3 linked regions of the Lepisosteus oculatus genome follow. The protein of the gene in region 1 purifies or fractionates together with the protein of each later gene. This does not show direct contact. Links are inferred from orthologs where the notes say so. Each region holds a gene or a part of one and is shown on either strand. Other genes may lie near its edges.

Region 1 (7,805 bases):
CGAGATCTCTGATGAATTGTCACAGATTATGTAGAAAATGTATGCTTAGGAGTTAGTTTGGAACTTTTTGTTGGCTCTTCTGCTGTCAGTGGCACCTCTTTAATATACTCACAGTTGTTACCAATAGCACCTGTACATTAGATGACGTTTCATTTTTACCCCAAAATTATTCAACTGGAATGTGCAATTTGCATTATAGACTCACTCCTCCTGTTGTTTCTGTCATCCTTTCCAGTGCCATGTGTGTGTTTCGGCACCACTGTAACATTGTGCTGCAGTTGTATTATACTTGTCACGGCTGCAGATTGAAATTTGGAAAGGCTTGTTGCATGTTGTTTTTTTGACCATCCCGAAGTGAGCACTTTGCAAAAGGGTTTTTACCCTTGGGCTAGCAGGACGGGATATTCCTCTTTTGGCCACAGATTGGGTTCCTCATCTCATACAAAGAGAAGCATGAATAACGGAAGGCTCCTGCATTGTATTTACTTGACATCCTTGTCTAGGTACTAGGGCGGCCCGTGTTTGTTCAGAACCGCTCTCAAGTGGAGCGTAGGATCTGGTGCCCGACCCGTACGGCTGTCCGGCCGAACCCGGGTCACGCGTGGCAGCGCGAGGACGTTCGCCACAGGTCTTCATCAGAGCGCGACGTAGATTTCCCTTCTCCCCGGTCAAGGAATGACGGCCTACACCTGCAAAAAAAAACCACTCCCCGCCCAGCGTTACGCTCCCTCTTGAAAATGTATTTCCGAAATGACGGAATGTATAGCGTCGGGTATTTTTTGGGCCGTACTCATTTCAGTTATATAGTTCAAACCTGTTGAAAGAGTACTGCTCTCTCTGCGCTGTCTTGTGAAAAGCACGTTTGTCTTGATTTTCTCAACAGTGGGGGTGGCCTCTCTGGGGCATTGCTGTGTTTTACATACTATATTCTGCAGGAGTCCACATTTATTTCCCAAATATGACTAGATCCTGTTTACCTACATCTCCTGCTTACAATGGCCACCTTCCCTGGGTCATCCGAGTCACTTTCTGGTCTAAAGAAATCAAAAGGCAAGAGTTATTAAGACCTTTTTTTCTTTCTTTCTAATATTCCCTTACATTTTCTCAGTTTTGTTTCTCAGGTTCCCTGCCATGGTGTTTATACAGGCTCTCTTAGTTCAGATGGGGTTTTGCTTTCGAGTTCGGGTGGTGGGGATGAGGGGTGTGCCGGGGGGCTCCCAGGCAGCGTGGACACCCCCGGCACTGGAAACCTGAGCCCCAGCTCAAAGCAGAGCAGAGGGGCCAGCAGAGCACCCCTCCGCCATCGCTGGGGTTGGGGCTAGCTTTCTTACCAGCGCCCCGCCAGGTCAGAGCACCTCCGCGCCGCTGCGCAGCACCAGCTCCCCGGCCGGGCGCTGGGGAGGAGGCAGGAGCGAGGAGCCCGTCTGGCCCTCCTCGTCCTCCCTGGGCTGGACTGGAGGTGGGGTCCGAGTGTAGAGCTAATTCGCCCTTTATAACGAGTACATTTGAATTCTTATTCACGCCTGTACTCTCAGCGTACAGACGGGTAAAGAGAACAATACTGTTTCTATTTAAGCCAGTACTACAAAATAATAATAATAATAATAATTAATAATTGCTTACACTTATATAGCGCTTTTCTGGACACTCCACTCAAAGCGCTTTACAGGTAATGGGGACTCCCCTCCACCACCACCAATGTGCAGCATCCACCTGGATGATGCGACGGCAGCCATAGTGCGCCAGAACGCTCACCACACATCAGCTATCTGTGGGGAGGAGAGCAGAGTAATGAAGCCAATTCATAGAGGGGGATTATTAGGAGGCCATGATTAGTAAGGGCCAATTGGAAATTTGGCCAGGACACCGGGGTTACACCCCTACTCTTTACGAGAAGAGCCCTGGGATTTTTAATGACCACAGAGAGTCAGGACCTCGGTTTTACGTCTCATCCGAAGGACGGCGCCTGTTTACAGTATAGTGTCCCCATCACTATACTGGGGCATTAGGACCCACATGGACCACAGGGTGAGCGCCCCCTGCTGGCCCCACTAACACCCCTTCCAGCAGCAACCTTAGTTTTTCCCAGGAGGTCTCCCATCCAGGTACTGACCAGGCTCACACCTGCTTAGCTTCAGTGGGTTGCCAGTTGTGAGTTGCAGGGTGATATGGCTGCTGGCAAAAGAGAGTATCTTCCAGTATACAGTAAGATACAACACACAGTATAGAAAACAATATACAATTTACAGTCTTGTATGCAGTGTAAAAAAATACAACATTCTACTGTAGGCGGTAATTGATAGCAGTCAGTCTGCATTTAGCTGTTAGTTAGCCTGAGTACTGTGGGCCCAAGCCAGATGCTTGGAAATCTGCAACCCTAAGATACAAAGCAAAGGTTCCCAATCCTGGTCCTAGAGGCCCACACACCTGGTTTTCATTCCAGCTGCATTTAATTACTTAATTGAAGGCTTAATTGAATTAAATAAGGTGCTTGATTGGAATGTTTGCGGTGCTCTCTAGACTCAAGAGTTTGGAATTTGATTTGAGTTAGGAAATGCAGTAGTTAAAAGGCTACCTCCCACAGGGTAACATCTGACAACAGCCACACAGTTCAGATTAATCCTGTGTGATGAAGTCCATTACAAATCCAATCATGTAACTGACGACGAGGATGAAAGAACAACCCCCAGGACCGAGGCTGGGAACCGCTGGTGTTAAGAAGCTCCAAAGTGTGTGTGTTTAAACTTAAAAATGACCGATATGTGTGTGTGTGTGTGTACAGGGAGGAAGGGGGCAAAATCCGTTTGTACGTGTCGCAGCGCACAGCGTTCCTAATTACTGAGGACACTGACATGGTGCAGATTGTACTAAGGCATCAACCTGGTGGCCTTCACACGACGGGTGTAACAGAGCACACATTGTGAACAGCTGTTCCCTGGTTTTTTTGGGGGAAGTGTGGAAATAAACTTTTCAAGAGTGTGGTGTGTCGTTTTAACCTGTCTGGCTATTTTTATTTTAAATGCAGTGTAGTGTGGCACATTACAGTCCCCGAACAAGTCGACAAAGGAATGTGTGGTTGTGTGATGTGAAGACGGCTACGGTACACCCCCCTCTCTGATTTTACACCAGTAAGAAAGGTATGGAAATGAGGAGAGGCTGCCCCCCCGGCCTCAGTACAAGCATCTCATCTGCAAGAAAAGGCTGAATGAGATCCTTGGATTGATTCATCCAATCAGCCCTTAAGCCCTTTGTATAAGTACCCTCTTCTACCCTCGCCTTTCCCGTTAGGTGTATTTTCATTTCTTCTACCACCTGCTTGTGAGACCCTGCCCCCATCTGCATTAAATGTGTCTGCCCAGATACAAACTGTCCCTAAGTGCTTTTTGAAATGTTATTTGCTGCTTCTTCAAATGAGGGTTAAACTCTTAACCCAGCTGGACCAAACACTAGCCCACCTCTGGCTCTCACAGCTTCTGTATCCCGGCAACACTCGCCAAGAAGGGGCGGGCCACTGTTAACGCCCCATCTGTTTTTGCCCACGTTGCTGTATTAGAAAGTACGAGTTGGCTCTTGTCAAAACGGCACCGTCAATAAGCCACATGCGACATGCTGATGTCTTGACTCACTCCTTGAGTGTCTCTAGCTGCCCCGTGCGGCTTCACTGAGCTCTTGATGTGAATAGAGGCTCCAGCCCGCCTGGAGGTCTGGGCCGAACGCGCTCGTGTGGCCCTCGGTCAGACTCGCTCTCCGGGGTCCCGTCTTCCAGCGGGAGACCTCCTCAGCCCCAGCGGCCTGTGAAGACTCCCACCCTGCCTGGAGGTGAACGCTAGGGTATCGGCGTGACCCAGAACCTCTAGGGGGCGCCCTACCCTCGGGTCCACTGTTTCCAAACCAAACCTTCAGTGTGGCTTCAGGGAGCACTGGGACGGAGGAGGTGCTGACCTCCGAACGAGACATTTAGCTCAGGTCCTGACCACCCGTTTCCCCACTGCTTTATCCACTGCAAGGTCATGGGGGAGCCCGAGTCTCTCCCAGAAAGCTCGGGACACCCTGGGTGGGATGCCGGTCCATCGCAGAGGTCCAGACTGCTTGGGCATAACAAAATTCTCATTTTTGCCTCGAATTTTTCAAAAACTTTAAGGGTGTTAGTGCCAGTATCCTGAATTGAAGCACACCGGTCTCTCGTACAGTCTGGTCTCCCTGCAGTCTCCCTTAATGGAACTGGTGATGCGGTTTCTCATTCCTCCCCCTGAACTGATGCGATTCAGAGGAGAAGGAACTGGTTCCTGTTGTGTGGGAAGCGCTCCGGGATAATCCACAGGGATGAGAAGTACTATATGCAAGCAAGGAATTATAATTTAAAGTGACATGAATGAGAGATGACTACGCAAGTCAAGCTCTACCTTGCAATAAATATGCACATCCAGCCCCAGCCCTGGAGACGTTATTCTAATTGGGGATGTCACTGACAGGTAACAAATGAAAGCGGGTCATACGGTCAGTAAAGACCGAGGATATCCGGCTTTAGTCTGCACACGCAAAACAATAAAAATAAAATTAAACCGGGGGAGAGGGATCAGTGGACGCTGCCAATTCGTGAAACGAAAAATGATATAAAGTGTTGCTAATTTTATGCAAACCGGTTAGAGAGCCGTGTCATTAGTGAGCTGTCTTTGCAGCTACAGCGCACACAGGCGCGCGCGGACCCTACCCGCGAGTCCCGCTGCCGAGCCTCGCGCCGGCTCACGTGGTGGTGGTGGTGAGGGGGGGGGGAGCGGGCGCACCACGGCCACAGGACCTCGGTAGTCCTCCGACTTCCTGTAAATAGTGCGCCGGCCCGCAACGCCGGCCCCGGCGTTTAAACCGACCCCCAGCTCAAAACCCCTCTTCCCCCGATCGGGTTCACTGAAAACCCCAGGCAGGCTGCGCTAATCTGGCCCCCAGGAGAGCTGTTAGGCGGCTGGAAGGGGAATTTGGTGGATGTACGCAGCATTGCGCCCTGGATATATCCCTCCGCTGTTTTTTGTCTTCTCTCAGACTGTTTTGGTCCCTTCGCTGATAGCAACGGAGAGAGACGCCGAAGAAGCCGAAAATCCTGTCTGTTGTCGCTAAAATACAACACAACGGGACAGGAATAACGCTTTCATTAGCTGAGGATCATCGACGTACTGTCTTTTAAAGAAGAAATAGTCTGTATTTTTTAATTGCGAAAATTAGTCGTCGGTAGTGTCATCGTTATTTTAGTTGTCTCTTTTTTTTTTTAGGTTGTATCCTTTACCAGACATTAGCCGATATACCGTTAAGTACGTTGTTTTTTTTTTTATGGGATCATCGTCATGTCCATGAAGCAGGCCGGAGGTAACCGAAAACCCGGCGGCGGCCCCGCTGCGGCCTCTGGTGCCGGGGGAAGCGGGGGAACCGGCGGACGGCAGAGCCTGGGCAGGTCGGTGCTTTCAGATCCCTTGACACCCCGCCGGCCGTGTCCCGGGAGCCGCGTTAACGTGGGTTGCCCGGGGGGGTTTTGAGGTTTGGGGGGTGCGAAGACGTGAATGTCTGTTGAAATAAATGTGAATGCTCGGGCCTAGCGCACCTTTCCGGGCCTCCTGCAGCAGCACGCAGCCTTCGGCTTTTTTTTTTTTTTGTCGCTGGTCAGCGTTATTGAAATGCCTCCTCGGTGGGAGCCGTGCCCCACGCCGGCTGGCGATTTCGCTGCGCGTTTGCCGTGGTCGGGCCCGGCCCGAACCTGCACGCCTCGCCTGCCTTTCACGGAGGTGTGTCTGCGGGCGGGACGTGAGCCCGTAGGCTGGACCGGTCCCTGCCCGCGGTGGGGTAGCGGGCGAGGGCCGGCGTGTGCCCGCTGTGTGGCGGGTTGCAAGAGGCTGCGTGCCCGGGGCGGCTTCTGCGGAGCCGCGGCGTCGGTCGCAACCGGACCTTCAGCATCTGGTGTGTGTGTGTGTGTGAGGACGAGAACCGGCACGGCCGTGCAGTCGGTGCGCTTTGCCTTGGCCGAGGCGTCAGGCGCTGTTGCGTTGCGCACACCGGCGTGAGAGCTTCACGTTTGAAGCGAGGGGCCCTGCTCCGCGCCCAGCCCTGTACCTCTGCGGCAGCCCGGTAGCCGTACAGGCCTTTCCCCACCCCAGCTAAGAGCTGTTAACTCTGCCCCCAGTGTAGCCAGCGATGCCTTCGGGGGGAGCCGCCAGACCCGGGCCGGGGCGCATCCGTGCAGCCGGAGCGGCCTTGCAGAGTTGCCCACCCCCCCATTTTAAATCCACTCGTGGGCCACATCCCGGCTGCGATCCGGGCTTCCCCTCTGACGCCGCCGTCAGTGTTTGAACGGGGTGCAGTGTTTTCTAGCGGCTTTGCCCTGAATCTGCTGGGTGGTGGGTGGGGAGACTGACCTGTGCTGCAGGTTTCGTGGAGGAGGGCAAGGGGTACCTTGAAGCGTCTTGCTGCATGGGCCTGCTCTGGCTGGTAACCTTTCATGCCGTTTTCCGCCTCGTTTTGTCTGTGCAGTGTTACCTTCTTCTCTACACGATGCATTAACAAGTGTGTATCGCTGTGTGAGGGAGGTGGGGTGGATTGAACAAATTACACTCGTGAATGGAGAGGCAGACCATTTTTTTTTTAAAGGAAGGTGGAGATCCTGTTGCGAGCGCTATTCCGGCCGATTTCAGTGAAAGCTGATTTTTTTTTAGAAAAAAAGGGTTTTCGGCAGCGGCTTCTGTTGTGACCTTCTCTTGTGCGGAGGAATAATGTTGGGGTTGCGTTATTGCTCACAAGTGGCGTTTTGAATCGTGTCTGGAAAAATGACTAATGAAGCTCTCTGCAGTAAGGTCTGGTTTGAATTCCCGGTCAAGGAGTAGACACGGTGATGTTTTCATCAAGTAGTTTAGATCAGGAACTATTAACCTATTGAGTCAACAAATACCTTTACTGAGCTGATAAAAGGGCGCAGCTGAAGCCCTGCATTTGAGTGCTTTGACATGAATGCTTTTAAAGGTGTAGTGTTAATATACTGTGTCAGTGGCCCGGTTTTGAGCTTTGCCTCCAGGAAAAAAACCCAGGGCGCCGAGTTGGGGTACGTGGGTGTACCTGCTGGGGCTTATTGAGTGGGCGAACTTGTGTTCATTGCTGAAATGGAGAGCCTTGCTTATCCTTACAGGTTCTTGGGGAGGCTGTGGAGAGCAGCTGACAACTTTCACCTGGTTTGTGTGCTTAGGGAATCGGATTGATCAAGATAATGCCTGGTTTATGCACTATTTGTAGTGAACTTGATTTCGATTTTATTTTACTGGGTGGCATGCTTCTGGGCAAACGCCTAATGAAAAAAATCAAAGGACGTCACTAATGACTGGTTTTCAGTTTGTCCTTGAGTAATGTTAATATACTATAGTTAAAATAAGATTAAGCCCTGTACTTCCATGTTAACTTCTTTTACTGAACTTCAGAATAATGTTGGAGGGGTTATTTCAGTGGTACTGTATCCCCATACATCACAGTTTTTATGTTTCTCACTTCTCACAATGATCAAATTTCCAAAGGCACTTCAAGGTCATTTTTATTTTTATTGGTGTTGGAATTTCGTCTCTAAGACGCTAAATTGGGATGTTTTAATTTAGCCAACCAGTCCATTGGAGTGGGGAGAAGCTCAGTTTCTAAAGCTGGAGCTAACAGTAGGGTTTTTAAAAATGACTTTAAAGGAGCACTTGACTATGCATTAGAAGCATTTTCTTGGTGATGCATTGTTTTTAAAGCTGTCACGTCATAATAGTTTAATAGCCATGAAGTCTAATGAATGGACCATA
Region 2 (7,757 bases), on another chromosome or scaffold:
GCGTAGAGGAAGGCGGACAGGTCGGACGCCATCACCCACCACACGGCCGCCGTCACCATGGCGTGGCCGGAGGGGCTGCCTGGAGATGGGGGGGGAGAGAGAGTCCTGACGAGTCAGCCCTGAGGGGCATCCCGGTACCCACAGAGCCCACATAAAACCTACTAGACTCTGACTGGGCCCCCGTACGGCCTGTTCTATACCCCTGCCCACTGTGGTATCGATTACAACAGCAACCACACGGCCCCAACTCCCCCTGATCAGCCAGAGCATCCATGTGTGAATAATGAATGCAGCTATAGGTGCACCAAACACTTTTTTCTGTCAATTCACGATGCTTTATTGGTATGACCAATTAGTAAATCAGTGTTGCCAAAGTTAAACAAATACAATTAACATACAAAACCTACAGACGTTTACAGTAGAGACACATCATAAGGTATTGACGTATAAATATATGAACATTATTGAGAGACAAGCTCACTGTTCCACATGCTGTTACTGGAGGTCACATACTGGCCGGCTAGTTCCCTCCTCCCTCTCCCAGTAGGACTGGGAGTTGTTGTGATCTTGAAGTAGTAACTGTAGTGAAGTATTATACCTTGATTATCTGGATATTTGCCTTCATCAGTAGCTGTAATGGTTGTTTTTGGGCAGTCTTCTTCTTCCTGAGCTATGTGGATGCACTGGGTCTAGGTGAACAGCAGCTGTCAGCCGTCAGTCCTGAGTTAGGATTCCTGACGTACTCGCGTTTTCATTGAAAAAGGAGGCAGCGAACTGCCCTCCACTCACCTGGTCCTGTCTCGCACGTGGAGGGGAACTGCCTGACCTGCGGCTGGTTTGTGCGAAACAGCTGGGATTCTCCTATCCACCAGAAGGGCCTCTCGCCGAACAGCACCCTGGGGACAGAGAACAGTGCATCCCAGTCCATCAATTCCGTACCACCCAGTACAGCACTCACCTGCACCCTGACCTCGCTTCTGAAACAAGGTCATGCCCCATTGTCACGTCATGTCATTTGCCAAACTGCTTTTTACCCTACGGTGTTGCGGGAAGCCGGAGCCTCGAGAGCAAGGCAGGGTACACCCTGGACAGGACGCCAGTCCATCGCAGGGCCAGTGCAAGCCCATCATACAGGGGGACAATTTGGAGGCCATGGTAAAGGCTGAGGGGGGAAATTCAGCCCGGACACCGGGATAACTCCCTACTCTTCTCGAGAAATGTCCGGGGATCTTTAATGACCACTGAGAGTCAGGACCTCGGTTTAACATCTCATCCGAAAGACGGCACCCACTACAGTATAGTGTCCCCACCACTATACTGGGGCATTAGGACCCACACAGACCGCAGGGTGGGCACCTCCTGCTGGTCCCACTAACCTCTTCCAGCAGAAACCATAGCTTCCCAGGAGTCTCCCATCCAGGTGCTGACCAGGCTCAACCCTGCTGAGCTCCAGTGGGTAGTATTGGGTATAATAAATAAGTAGAGCCAGAAGGATTCATGGGGACTGGCGAATCAGCATTTCTTAACATGTAGATTTATACAGAAGATGGGCAAAGGTTTAGATCTGAATCTTTTTTTCCCATGTGTTTTTTTCCCATGCTTGTCCCAGCTGGGACAGCTAAATAGAAATAAAAATGTGAGTGCATGTCTTCCAGAAAAGCAGTAGCACATCAGATGCACAGTGCTGTTCAACCCTTCCTTGCTGTGTGGTCAACTCTCTGTCCTAATCAATGATGCCTCTCCTGTTTCTACACAGTAATCCCTTAATTGCACTCATTTACGATGCACATGCCTGCTACTGTGTATGATGTATGCATATCGGCCTAAATATTAAGAAACTCCATTAAATATTATGTTAAGGCCTCAGCGAGCACAGGAACAGCTTGAACAGCAGATGGCCTGTATAAATACTGTTTGTAATATCTGCTGCCCAGTCCCAACCCATACCTTTAGAAAGGATAGCCTGCAATTGAAGTTGTGGTAACAGTGTGTGGGACTAAACCGTGTGGCCCTCTGGGTTTCAACAGGATTGAGGTCCGAGCTGGGGTTTGTTCTGGCCAAGGAAAGCCATGATGTCTTTGACCTCAGATTCTATTTATTTTGACTTGGGGGGGGCAGCACTAACATCTTGGCCAGCGAGTACATAGAAAACTGCATGTTTAACGGGGTTCAGCGCGGGGCTCCCCAGCTGCAGAAGTGACGTCAGCCCGCTCTGCCGTCTTCAGAACAGGCATGTTGACCGCTGTTTTAAGTACTGGCGCGCAGGGATCATACGCATTCCACCAATCTGCTGGAGCAATTACAGGGTTAATTTAAGCACCAAATGCAGGGTAGCACTCGGAAGCATGCGAAAGGGGTATATAAGAAGCAAGGAAAAAACTGGGATTTTCAGATGCCTTGGAATCTAGGGTTTATAGAAACACTTCTGCAAAATGCGGTCATTTAAAGCAGAGGCCAGTGCACGAAACTGGACAGCACACAAAATAGTTTTTAGCTGAGGCGCTTGTGGCGTACGGAAACTGGCTGAGAGGTACAGTAGCGATTGCACCACCTGAGCGCCACCAGAGTTGCAACACTATCTCTTGCCACTGAGGGGACGGACGTCAGCTAGTAGCAGCAACACGCTGAGCTGGTCTGAGGTCCCAGAGTCCGCAACAAACTTCCCTTTCGCAGCAACAGCAAAGGTAGTTTGGCGTCATCGTCCAAAACCCGTGACAGACACAAAGCGGAGAATGTCGTGCACAATAATACCAGTTACTGACGCTTTTCCTATACATTAGCAGCTTATTTACAGATGTCCTGCGGTAAACGCATGCGGGAAGCTCCTAAGGTCTGTCCCCAAAACCCGGACTGTTCATGTAACCAGTTTCTCGCTTACCACTTGAAAATGAGATTCAGCCACTCCGAAATGATAGCGGCCCAGATGACGGCCACTCCGGTCCTCCGGCTGAGGTAGACGGTGGCGGGGAAACAGAGCAGGAAGGCGGCTTTGGGGCTGCCCAGGTGAGTGATGGACAGCCAGAGTTTCTCATGGTCCATCAGCCGGTTCTGAAGCGCCTCGGCGATCCGGACGCCCTGGGCGTGAATCGCATCCATCTTCAGACGAGCTGGTTCGACGAGGACGGACCGTCGCCACAACTTATAGGAGTTACAAACGTTTCAAAGTTAAAAGAACGGCAGATAATGACTACGGGCTATATGCACTGACTGTAGTGACCTTAATTGCAACAACTAGGAGGACCGCTGCACTGGATATTCTTTAATTTTAAATACTTAATGGGCCAGTGATGCCGGGATGAAGCGCAGACGCAGGTATCCGAGAGATGCTGCTACAGGCGGAAAACTTGGCGCGGTCATTAGCTCTGGGCTGGCTCCTGGTGCTTAATTTTTTTTGACAGCATCATCGGGCTCGATCATTTCCTGACTGCCGACAACCGGGAGAGGAAAGGGACAAACTTCAGTCCCGGACTCGTTTGTTATTTGGTGACCTCTTCAGAGAGATGGTCTGGCACGCACTGCCTTTGTTGGGGGAGAAAGTAACTTAAAAAAAAAACAAAACAACAACAACAACAACGTAGCCCATTACAGTAACAGGTTACATGTGTAAGGGACTGCTTTTGTAAATCGAAAAGAAGTCGGCAAACGTTGAAGAGGTAAAGTATTACTTCATACCAAGTATAACATTGTATATGTTAATACTTTGGCTATTATCTCGTAACTAGTTATGCAGTGACCCTATACAGATGACTTTTAAAATTAGTTTGCCCCAGTTTTTTTTTTTAAACTAGGAACTTTATCGAACTGTCTGCTACAACCCCTTATGTTTTGGGGGTCCTATACAACGGCGGTTATATTCTCATGGGATGCAAAGCGGATTTGAATGCCTACTGTGTTGTGATGGCACTACTAGAACACAGTGCGCAGGGATGCTATATACGACTGGGTTCTGGGGTCAGAGGTCAGGAGAGAGTTTCTGGGGTCGGAGGTCAGGAGAGAAAGTTGGAGAGTGTGTCATACATTAATAATAATGATAATTAATAATTGCTTACACTTATATAGCGCTTTTCTGGACACTCCACTCAAAGCGCTTTACAGGCAATGGGGATCCCCTCCACCACCACCAATGTACAGCATCCACCTAGATGATGCATTAACTTTATTAAAGCCAGTTAAACGTCTATACGCCTCCGGATGATCATTTCTACGCATAACACTATACCTACAAGCTGTGAACACATATAGGGCTCTTAACGTAGAATGTTCTCCCAAACGACGTCTTGAGATTGCTTAGATATTATATAAACGAGTTTCAGAAATCAATTTATGAACTCCCGCGTCCCGATAAGGTGACGAAACTTCATGCTTTTACTATCACGTTTACCAAGTATTATCCGCCTAATACAGAATAAAAATGAATGTAATGTATACTATATATACGATTATGTACTTTATCAAGCTAGTATTAGTATTAGTCCAAGGAGGTTTCTATTCCTTTATTAAAGATTCGTTTGAAACAATGGGGCTCAATATAAACATACTCACAGTACAGAAATGTTCTTTCAGAATCACAAAAACAAGACGTGAATAATATGAGAATTAAGCGGTTATTTTCAGAAGTCTCTGCCAGAATTTGAAAAAGAACACACGATTACGTCAGAACGCGCCTCTCACGTCCCAGTCGAATACGGTGACGCCATTACGTAGGCTTACGTAAGGCTGGCGCTCCGGTTTCCTGGCGGAGAAGATGGCGGCTCCAGGACCGGGGGAGTACTTCAGCGTCGGCAGTCAGGTCGCTTGCCTCACCTGCTTGGGACAGCGCCTGCAAGGAGAGGTCTTGGCTTTCGACTACCAGTCCAAGATGCTGACTTTGAGTATCCTTTTGCGGTGTTTGGGGCGGCGGCGGCGGCCGCTCGCTGGTCTCTCCTGCTGGCGGAGGGGCCTGAGGGGTAACCGGCCGCTCTTGCCAGATAGTGCTCCGCGCAGGCGTAGTAACGAAGGCAGCCACCGTGGGGGCCCGACCGTGTCCCCAAACTAGATCGGGGTTCACCTGCTTAGAGTGGGCCCGCACCCGGCCCCAGCTGCCCCCGGTAAAGCCAGCGGAGCGCGGCTGGGCTCCGGGTCCGAGCGTTGTAGCCAGGAACCCAGTCCTTGGTAGGGAGCACTATTTGGCAGCTCCAGAAGGGGCATCATGGCTGTTTTTTTTTTCCTTCTTTATATCATTCTTTGAAATAATACGAATCAATTGACCAAAAAAACGGCTAGGGGCGCGGAAACGTGGTCGGTAGCACTAAGGCTTAGTGGCCATTTCTGCCAGCGGGGTGTTGTGTGAGGCGGCGGCGGTGGCGGGGGGGGGAGGGTGAGTTTGTCCACGTTTTTCTCCTCTGCGATCTGTGTGCCTCTCGCCGCCTGTGCACCTACCACGGGGCGAGACGTGAGCGCAGCGCGATCGCTCGCCGGCCGTCTCGGGTGCTCTTTCCGACGGCGCCTCGATCCGTTCGTGGTGGAGTGGGGGGGCGCGGAGACAGGCCGGCTCTGGAGAGGGGGTGCCTGTGTTGTGGTTCCCCCTCCCGGGCCTGCACGTCGGCTCATGGCGAGTTACACCTCCGAGCCCCGATCGTCTCCGGCCACGATTCCGCGGTTTACTCCTCTCGTCGCGCCTCAGACGCGATATCCCAGCGTGGTGGTTGGCGTTAGCGCCGCGACCCGTGGGTTTAACCGGGGGAGAAAAAAAAAATCTCAGCCACAGCCAGGCGTGCTGGGTGCTATGTTGTTCAGTGTGTAATTGAAATCCCTCCTTGAAATTGACTATGGCCGGTTCGTTGATCACAAGCGGATGATAGCGAGCGGTAGCCATGTCCGCTACCCGGTGCAAATGCCGGGCAGTTATTTTTGCGGTGTGTCGATGGCACGTCTTGTTAATTCGCTGGTTTATGAAAATGCTGTAGCCCAGCCTATTGCAACCCGGTCGGCAAGCTGTTGTTAACAGCAGGCGTTACTACTCGACTGGATATCTAGAAAATGCACAATAGTATGTACGAGTTCTACATTTCATTTTTTACCTACATTGTAGATCCTGGTCTATTACATTTTTCTGTGCCTCTTTTAATGAGATGCTTTTTTTTTTAGTTTATTACAAAACATATTCCCAGGTGGGTACATAGCTGTTGGTTTCAGTGATAGTGATTGCTTTATGTTGAGAATCAGCTGGCAGTATACATGCAGGCAGAGGTAGATCTTTCCTGTGCGCATTATATATCCCTCAGGGCAGGGACTGACACTGGTCTGTGTTCTGTCTCTGTGGACTGCAGGGATATCTGAATGAAGATTTTCCTGAGGATGTCTGACAGTGTCTGGGCAGTAGGTAGTTGTGCTCTGGCAAGAACACAGAGAGGCCACCCAGGTATGATTGAGGCTGGGCGGAGCTGATGGTGTTGGCCGATGTTGACCCTCGTCACCTGCGGTTCCTCTTGCCTGGAAGTCTGTATTTTTCAACCTTGTCGTAATGTCATTCTTGTTGTCCTTGTAGGTTTCCAGCAGGCCCGATCATTGTGAGACCTGCAGAATGTGCTGGAATACAATCAAATCAGGCATTTAGAAAGCAATTTAAAATCTGTTAAATCGTTTCATTTTCTACAGAAAGTGAAACCATTACTTAGTTAGCCTGGAGCTCTTGTTTGTTTTTTATATCTGCTTTGGGGAAAAAAAACAATGCTAGTAATTTCACCAGCACTACTTGATCTTTCACATTAAGACAGGACCATTCAAATTAATGAGTTCAGACTTCAGCAGGTTTGCAGACTGCTGGACAAATTGTAAATTCAAGGGAATTTTATTTTTAATAATAGTTCCTTACCCTTGCTTAGTACTTCTCTGGACACTGCACTTTACAGGTAATGGTAACTCCCCTCCACCACCAGTGTGCAGCCCCACCTGGATGATGCGCCAGTCCACTCACCACAGTGGGGAGAACACTGGTGAAGCCAAATCAGAGATTAGGAGGCCATGATTGGTAAGGGTTAATGGGAAATTTGGCCAGGAGTAACACAGCTACTGTGCCTTTTTACAGTATAGTGTCCCCCTCACTATACTGGGGCATTAGGAACCACACAGACCGCAGAGTGAGCGCTCCCTAATGGTCCCACTAACAGCTCTTCCGGCAGCAGCCTTAGTTTTTCCCAGGAGTCTCCCATCCAGTTACTGGCCAGGCTCACACCTGCTGAGCTTTGCTGGATTGTCAGTTGTGAGTTGCAGGGTGATAGAGCAGCTGGCCATATTAGGTAGCAGGCAGTTACATGAAAGTTGCACAAACTATTTAGCAGGACATGAGGAAACTGCTATAATTCTGTTGTATTAGTGCGACTTGGTTAAAGTCTAGTGTGAATTATAGGAAATCAGGTTTAGTGAGGAATTGAAACCTTGTTTCTGTTTTTACTGTTAATGTTTTAAGCAAGCTAGTCCTGTACAGCATAGTCATAGATTTGCGTAACTGATCATAGTTAAAGATCTGAATTAGCACGTGTTCTGAGGTGGACTTGATTACTTTGTTACTCGGTTACAAACTTTGCCATTGTTTTATCAGGCTATAAACTTTTATGCTGGGTTGAGATATTGAGCTGCCCTTGTACATGCGTCGTTTGACATACTGATAGTCAGAGGGGCGCATTAAAATTGTTCAAGTGTAGTTGTGAATTTTCCATTTCTCTTTTTCATTACTTAGCCTTTTATGATGACATCGCAAACCTGTTACCAGTAATGCA
Region 3 (7,236 bases), on another chromosome or scaffold:
TACCTTTTTTTATCAGAGTTTTATTCAGAGCATTCTAGCTTTTTGTATTCAGCGCTGGGGAGGTGCCTTGTCCTAGCAGAACAACAATAAGTTAAACAAAGTGATCAGGACTGGTGGCAAGATTACCAGAGCATCCTTGGGCTCAATAAGTCCAATTATTAATTGGACAGATTAATTATTATTAATCTTGCACAGAAAATCTTCGATGACCCCTCTTTTGAGAATATACTCTCCTGATCCCCTGTAGAAAGACTAGGAGAGCATTTACTTCCTTTATACCTAAAAGCATTCAATTGTTAGAACAGTGGAAAAAAATGTCTGTAGTTAGGGATCTTCTTCTTGTTATTGTTTTCAGACTCTTCAAGAGTTAACTGTCTGTTTTTTAATCATGTGGTACCTGAAGAGTTCTGACTGAGCGATGTTGCTGAATGTTGTTTTATGTGATATATTATGGTATTGTACTGTTGCTGTGTTGTATTATGGTCGTATGTGTAACATGTTTATGAGCTCCTGATGCCCTTAGGGGCAATAATGGTGAACACAAGGTTCAGAGCAATATGGTCTGTGGCCATGTTCTCACACACGAGCCGGTGCCAGGCCCAGGTGTTGGCGACGAAGGCGGGATTTCAAGCTCACAGAGGCCGCCGGCTCTTGTCCTTGCTCTCAGACTGCGGGGAGGTGGACGACACGCAGGCGCGGATCCTGGGCGGGACGAGGGCGGAGAGGAACAAGTGGCCGTGGCAGGTGTCCCTGCACGAGGACTCCTCGCACAGCTGCGGGGGCAGCATCCTGAGACGGCGCTGGGTCGTCACCGCGGCGCACTGCCTCGTAGAGTGAGCCCGCGGCACGCCGGACGGCCCGCAGCAGACACACCGGCCCGCAGTGCAGTCCCAGACGGATCTGGCTCAAGCTGCTCGGCTGTAGGGCGAGGAGGGAACCAGGGGGCAGCTGCTCAGGGGCACGGGGGGGGTGGAGGAGGGGTACAGAGGATGAATGCAGAGGAGGAAAGGCTTATGTGTGGAATTTATAGCATTTTTTAAAATTTATCTCAGCAGTGATTGTGAGACAGGGCAGCTGAGGCAAAACTGTAGGCAAAATACTGTAGAATAAACCCGAGAATCATAACGTTAGCATTCACATTACGGTTCTGCTACGATTATATTTACTGTAACTTGACTTTCGAAAAAAACGTTTATAAAATGCAAATTTGACTCACGCTGAAAGGAAAAGAGACCTGATGAAGGCTCCACAGCTGAAACGTTGTGTCTCTTTTCTTTTCCTTTCAGCAGGGAATAAACCTTCACCTGTTTCTCTGCAGCCTACACATGCTGACGCAGCTACCTACTTGAACTTCGAGAAGCGGAACTTTTCGAGACGTTGCATGAAGCTAGTCAGGGGTGCTGCCCACACGTGCTGACCCTCACTGTTCTGGTACACTCCTGCAGCTCCAAGGCGTCAGACCTGAAGGTGTACGCTGGGATACTGAGGCAGAAAGAAACACGCTCCGCGGAGTACTATGGCGTGGAGAAGATCCTGATGCACTCGGAATACGATCAGGGAGATCAAGAAAACGACATAGCTCTGCTGAAACTGGACAGGCCCATCACGTACGATGGTGAGCATTTAAGAAAAGTTAATTGCCGCCAAACTACATAGTAAAAAACTGTCAGGTTGTCTTGGGCTTAGGAGAAGGAAGAAGTAAAGGTTAATTCCAGTCTGAAATGTAGAAATCACAAACACCACATTGCGGGTTTGTATACACAAACCGTAAGATCGTGTGTTGTTTTTTATGTGTACAGGGCATTTTGACATGGTATTTTTTGTATTTTCATTTGTCCTTCCTCCTATCCCTCCAAAGCATTTTGACACTTAGTTTTTGTTGTTTTAGACTCAAAGTGGCCTATCTGCCTCCCAAACAAGGCAAAAGAGAAGGAGTTTTGGGGACAGAAATGCTGGATCTCAGGCTGGGGGAAATTGGCTTCAGGTAAGCCATGAAGTCATGCAACAAGCTTCAGCTGTACCTCGGGCTGCTTAATCGTCAGAGCGTTTGAGCTCCCTGCTTAGCAATTCAGCTTATAGCATTAAAACCTCTTGCTGTTTTATTTCCCTTTCCAGGAAAATCGCCGAGTTTCCTTCAGCAAGCAGAGCTCCCTCTGATCACCACTGAGGCCTGCAGGTCCTTCTACAGCAACAGCTCCATTGCTGACACCATGCTCTGTGCAGGTCTCGAGGAAGGTGGCGTCGACACCTGTCAGGTAACGCAGAATGTGCACAGAGCTGTTGCACAGACTGCCTCACGGGAAATGAGCCTAGAATCCACAGCCCCCCATGACGATTTATCTATTGAAGCTCTCTGGTACAGAGCTTTAATTGCGAATGAGGTGCATACCACAGGGCTGATCTCTCTCCCGTTTCACCTGCAGAGTGTGTGTGCTGCTGGCCAGGAGTAGGGCCCCGGGGGCAGGGCGTATGAACTCGGGCCCCCTAGAAGACACTAACCCCCTGCTCTGTGCTGTGCTCCTCCCGCACCAGGGCGACAGCGGCGGGCCCCTGATGTGCGAGTCGCAGGACAAGTGGTACCTGATGGGCGTGACCAGCTGGGGAGATGGCTGTGGGGTGGCAGGCAAGCCCGGGGTGTACACCCGAGTGGAGAAGTACCGGGACTGGATTAAAGGCACCATCTGCCAGAGTAAGATCCCTCCCTCGCTACAGCACGGCTCCTGGCTGGGGTGGTGGGGCCCAGAGTACCGTCACCCTGTGACCCTGTGACTGGCGGGAAGCACTCTAGTGGGCGGCGCCAGGGTGACACCCGTCTGGGCCCAAAACTGAGGCCCCCGCAGCCTGCCATCCGCCACGGCGGCCCACGGCGGGCGCCAGTGTGCTCTGCAGCTTCACAAACCAGGGCCGGGCCCGGTGCCCCCAGGGCGAAATGAAGGAATGAGGATTGACCACATTCTCCCAACGTCTGCAAGCGTCCTGCTCGGTACAGGTTCAGTCTGACGCGCGGCACCTCCGGCTTGCTGTCTCGTGAAGACTGGCCACTGGGAAACGTGCTATTCCTGACTGCACTGCAAAACACGTTCCTCCATATTCCTCCTTTCAGCTTGTAGTGTCACCACTCGAGGCTCGGACACGCAGTGATTGAGCACAGTGAGCCCACCTGCTTCGTGAGATCTGTGCATCGCCTCTGTGACAGACATCGCACTGAGACTAAACTGAGATGTTATTGAAAAAAACATTCGTTTGTCATACAAAAAAAAAAAGAGATGTTATTGCAGCACGGCCTGGCAATACAGGGGAATCTCCGGACACAGATCTGCCATGTGGTCAAGTATGATCATGAGGTGTTGATACCAATCCTTCTTTCTTGTTTTTTTCTAGATTCCTGAAGCCCAGATGGGATTTGAAGATAAGCCACCTGGGCAACAGCTTACTCATTTACAACGGCCAGTCCAGGCTGTACAACAGAAGAGTATCTAGTGGAACAGAGACACCTAAAGAAGGAATATGGACACAGATTTTGGACACAAAAGAAATACCAGTGCACTAGCCCCGTCTTCGCCACCCTTTTCTTTCATTCAATCTCTGTTTCGCCTGTTCATAACTGGGAGCCATAAGAGCACATCGACATGTATATTCAAATATACTTAATCTCTCAGATCAGGACGTTTCTGTGAGTTTTATTACAACATGGAAGTTTTAATCACATACTGTAAAAGGATGCACAGCGAGGCTAGGAACGTCGGAGTAATAATTAATATACCGATTGTACTGAAAAAGAAAAGAGAGATTTTTTTTTTACTGAAATGGCAGAATGAATGTAGAGACAGAAGGGAAAAGATATTATGAGTTTTCTTGCCCGTGCATTAGCATTGTTTTCAACCCAGTAAGGGAAAACGTGTTAAATTACTTTTTTTTTCTCGCAGGCTACCGCCTTCAATTAAAAAAAAAAAATCGGGATGGAGCACTGGAGCTGCCTGGTTTAATATCAGACTGAGTAGGGAAACGGGCGTTGGTATTTTCCCGGATTCCCAGCTTGATTCACAGCACACAGATGTCGCTATAGCGGGCTCAGCTGGGTAGTTCTGACAGGCTAACATGCTCTTCCTTTTCCGCTGTCAGTCGGTGCTTTTTTTATCCCAAGTTTGACCCTGGCAGCTATTTCCTCTCCTCTCTCGCGCTATAAAGTCCCCACGCGTTCCGCACGCAGTCTCTTTCCCTGGCCACAAAACAGAGCGAGTGTGAGCACTCACTGCTCTTTCACAACTTCAAGAAAAAACACAAAAAAATAAAAAAACACAAAATACACAAAACCTGTGAAAAAAATACCGGAACTTCAAGACAAGGCGGAAAAAAAGGAAAATTAAAAAAAAACGCAAAATAATACTTTTTTTGTTTTATTTTAATTCTTGATATTTACAGAAGGCCTCGGGCTTGGATTGCCTGAAGTTTTAAAGACGAGAATTTCCATTACAATTATCAGTAAGAAGAAACAATATTCTTAGCAAGACACTGCACTGTTTAAAAGGACTCAGTATCCCAGATTGAGGTTATTTTGGGACTCTATTTTTCCTTTCTTCAGCTAAGATTTTTTATTGAAACTTTTACAGCATCCAGGCTTTTTGTCTACAAATACTGACAAAATAATTTCACATTAGCGGTGGATCCATTGACCTCGACTAAATTAAACTGTGCAGTTCGGGGAGCGCAGCTGTTGTGCTTACTGAACATTACAACACACACACACACGTACATAAATCCACCGAAACATCTCAGCCGTCCGCTATTCAAATCCGAACAATGAACACTGCGACAGCAGGGAGTTACCCGATGGCTTCTCTTTATGTCGGCGACTTGCACCCCGATATCACTGAGGCGATGCTCTACGAAAAATTCAGCCCCGCCGGCCCGGTTCTGTCCATTCGGGTCTGCCGCGACATGATCACCCGCCGCTCTCTGGGTTACGCCTATGTGAACTTTCAGCAGCCCGCAGACGGTAAGCACAGTATATACTTCGTGTTGGTGCGTTTGTGTGTGTCGGCATGGCTGTGACTCTTTAAATCCCCCCACCTGCAGTGTGTCAACTTGGGCAGAAGCAGAGCAGCGCTCCCTCTCCCCCGTGCGCGTTTTTCGTACTGCGGTGAAAAGACGCAGGAAGCCTGATGCTCTCGCCCAGCTCACATGCGTTGTGTACAGTATTAACACGGTGAAGGAGGAGCAATAAAAAAAAACACCATTGCATATAGAGAGCTTATGGGGTCTGTCGTGTCTAAACACAACGGCATGGTCTGAAAGGATTCTGGTAACAATAATTGATTAGATCTTCGATCAGTACGTTTTTGCTTCTCCTGCATGCTAAACGGCAGGGCGCAGTGAATTTACTTGAGATGTGCGGTGAAGTATAAACAAAGTGCGAGGAACTAAGTAGAGGGTATAAAAATGGCAAAGCAGCTGAAGGGGTTTTAGGGAGCATTGCAGGCTGACTGTTGGGGAGCTTCCTCTGGAGTTTAAGCCCACAGACACAAACACATACTGTACCTCCACAGCCAGGTGCAAGTCCACCTGTCATCATTACTTGTGGGTTCTGCGCCCCAGCAGTTCGGGAGAGTGAAGACTCGTGCAGAGCAGGCTTTGTCCCCCTGGAGCGATCATGCCCAGGCTTCCCCGACACTAGGTTCAGCTTCACGGCTTTGAGAACGTTTACTACAGAACATAAAAACAGTTACAGACGAGAAAAGGCCATTCCAAGACCATTCCAGCCTGTTTAGCAGCTAGCAGCTGATTGATCCAGACAGTCGGGGGATCGTTTCAACAACACGGCTGGACAGATTCCACTCTCTCGCTGTCCTGCGGCTGAAGAAGTGCCTCCGGATCTTGGTTTTAAATGCGCTTCCCTGTAGTTTCCACTTGTGAGCCCTGGTTTGTGTTTCACTGTTCGTTCTGAAGAAATACACAGGGCCGACTTTGTCCTTTTGCGGATTTTGAGTATGTGTGTTAAGGTCCCGTCATACTCCTGTCTGTTCAGGACTGAAAGGGTTCAGTTCCTTCCGTCTGTCAGGGAGGGACACTCCCTTCAGCCCCAGGATGTATCTGGTTGCTCTTGTTTGGACTGATTGCAGCAGGATCTTTCTATCACATGGTAACCAAGAGTGTGCACAATACCATGGGAAATGTAAATTTGTATAGTACTTGCATATTGTCCCCTAGTTTTACCAAGTATTTTGGTTTCCACAGCTGGGAATTATGTATTCTCACAACTCTCAGTGCTTTACTAAACTGTACCCTGCTTTTCCCATCGTCCACCACTTTTGCGACCTTTTCAGCTAAACACAGAACAAAAGTGGATAATAACGAAACAAAGAGCTGAAAGGACATCTGAGGTATGAAGAGTCTCAGACTACAGCAGGTGCGTCTTCACCTTGCCCTTCCCATCAGCCCTGTCGATTTCTGTCTCTCCTGTCTTCCCTCTGCCCCAGGCTGAGCGGCTGCAGACCAGCTACATGGAGACCTTATTCTTCATCTCCATTCGGGCTCCCAGATTACCAAGCGCAGAAAGGCTGATTGGTTTTGCACTTTTATGAGAAACAAGCAAAGCATCAGAAGGCACCTGACAAATTGTTCTTTCGCCATCTCCATTTCTGAGCACTCAGGACAAGCAGTGCTGCTGGGCTTGCACCGCTGGCCAGTTTCAGGCAGCTACTTCTCTCGGCTGTCCCTGACTGTGCCCGTTCTGGGTCCTGTCCCTGTCTATGCCCGTTCTGGGTCCTGTCCCTGTCTATGCCCGTTCTGGGTCCTGTCCCTGACTGTGCCCATTCTGGGTCCTCTAATGACTTGCTGTTCCGCTGCCTTTAGATTTCTCATGGAAAGATGCACAGTGAAATGTTTGGTGTTGTGGTGCACTGCTCCTCCTTTTTCCACATTTGGAGCATGTCTCATCCAGAGGCCTGCTGTTCGACTGCTAGCCCGACACATACACAATGCGAGCAGGGCACAATAGAGACTTTGTTCGTGGACTCCACAAAGCAAAACCCCAAGTGTGCAATTTTTGAACAAGCCTTTATTGTGGCTTTGTCTGATTTCACGCACGGCAGTTTTTTAAAACTGTACCAGAGGGGCCTCATCCTTCCACGCTCCTCTTTTCCAGCACATGGCTTTGCTTCTTCCTGCGCTGTCACAGGCGTGACTGTTTTGTCTCGAGTGCGTGCGCAATGCTGAGCTCCTGACGTGCTCCTCATG

Evidence for each region. The genes of interacting proteins can lie anywhere in the genome.
Region 2: the proteins of atxn2 (region 1) and lsm12b purify together in Homo sapiens (affinity purification with mass spectrometry; 4 studies listed by BioGRID and IntAct, with this or other methods). This does not show direct contact. The link is inferred for Lepisosteus oculatus from reciprocal best matches to the Homo sapiens genes ATXN2 and LSM12.
Region 3: the proteins of atxn2 (region 1) and pabpc4 purify together in Homo sapiens (affinity purification with mass spectrometry; 4 studies listed by BioGRID and IntAct, with this or other methods). This does not show direct contact. The link is inferred for Lepisosteus oculatus from reciprocal best matches to the Homo sapiens genes ATXN2 and PABPC4.

The regions. Positions count from the first base shown.
Region 1 is NC_090717.1:12,985,568-12,993,372, reverse strand, and holds the start of atxn2 (ataxin-2), read left to right. Parts: upstream 1-4,803; 5' UTR 4,804-5,336; coding exon 5,337-5,443; intron 5,444-7,805. UniProt on the Homo sapiens protein: Involved in EGFR trafficking, acting as negative regulator of endocytic EGFR internalization at the plasma membrane.
Region 2 is NC_090723.1:7,309,920-7,317,676, reverse strand, and holds the start of lsm12b (protein LSM12 homolog A), read left to right. Parts: upstream 1-4,744; coding exon 4,745-4,871; intron 4,872-7,757. Other genes in the region: g6pc3 (glucose-6-phosphatase 3), read right to left, coding at 1-79, 790-896, 2,879-3,096. UniProt on the Homo sapiens protein: Nicotinic acid adenine dinucleotide phosphate (NAADP) binding protein. Confers NAADP sensitivity to the two pore channel complex (TPCs) by acting as TPC accessory protein necessary for NAADP-evoked Ca(2+) release.
Region 3 is NC_090706.1:2,444,542-2,451,777, forward strand, and holds the start of pabpc4 (polyadenylate-binding protein 4), read left to right. Parts: upstream 1-4,223; 5' UTR 4,224-4,800; coding exon 4,801-4,996; intron 4,997-7,236. Other genes in the region: coagulation factor XI-like, read left to right, coding at 668-833, 1,446-1,615, 1,889-1,984, 2,116-2,255, 2,533-2,689, 3,382-3,389.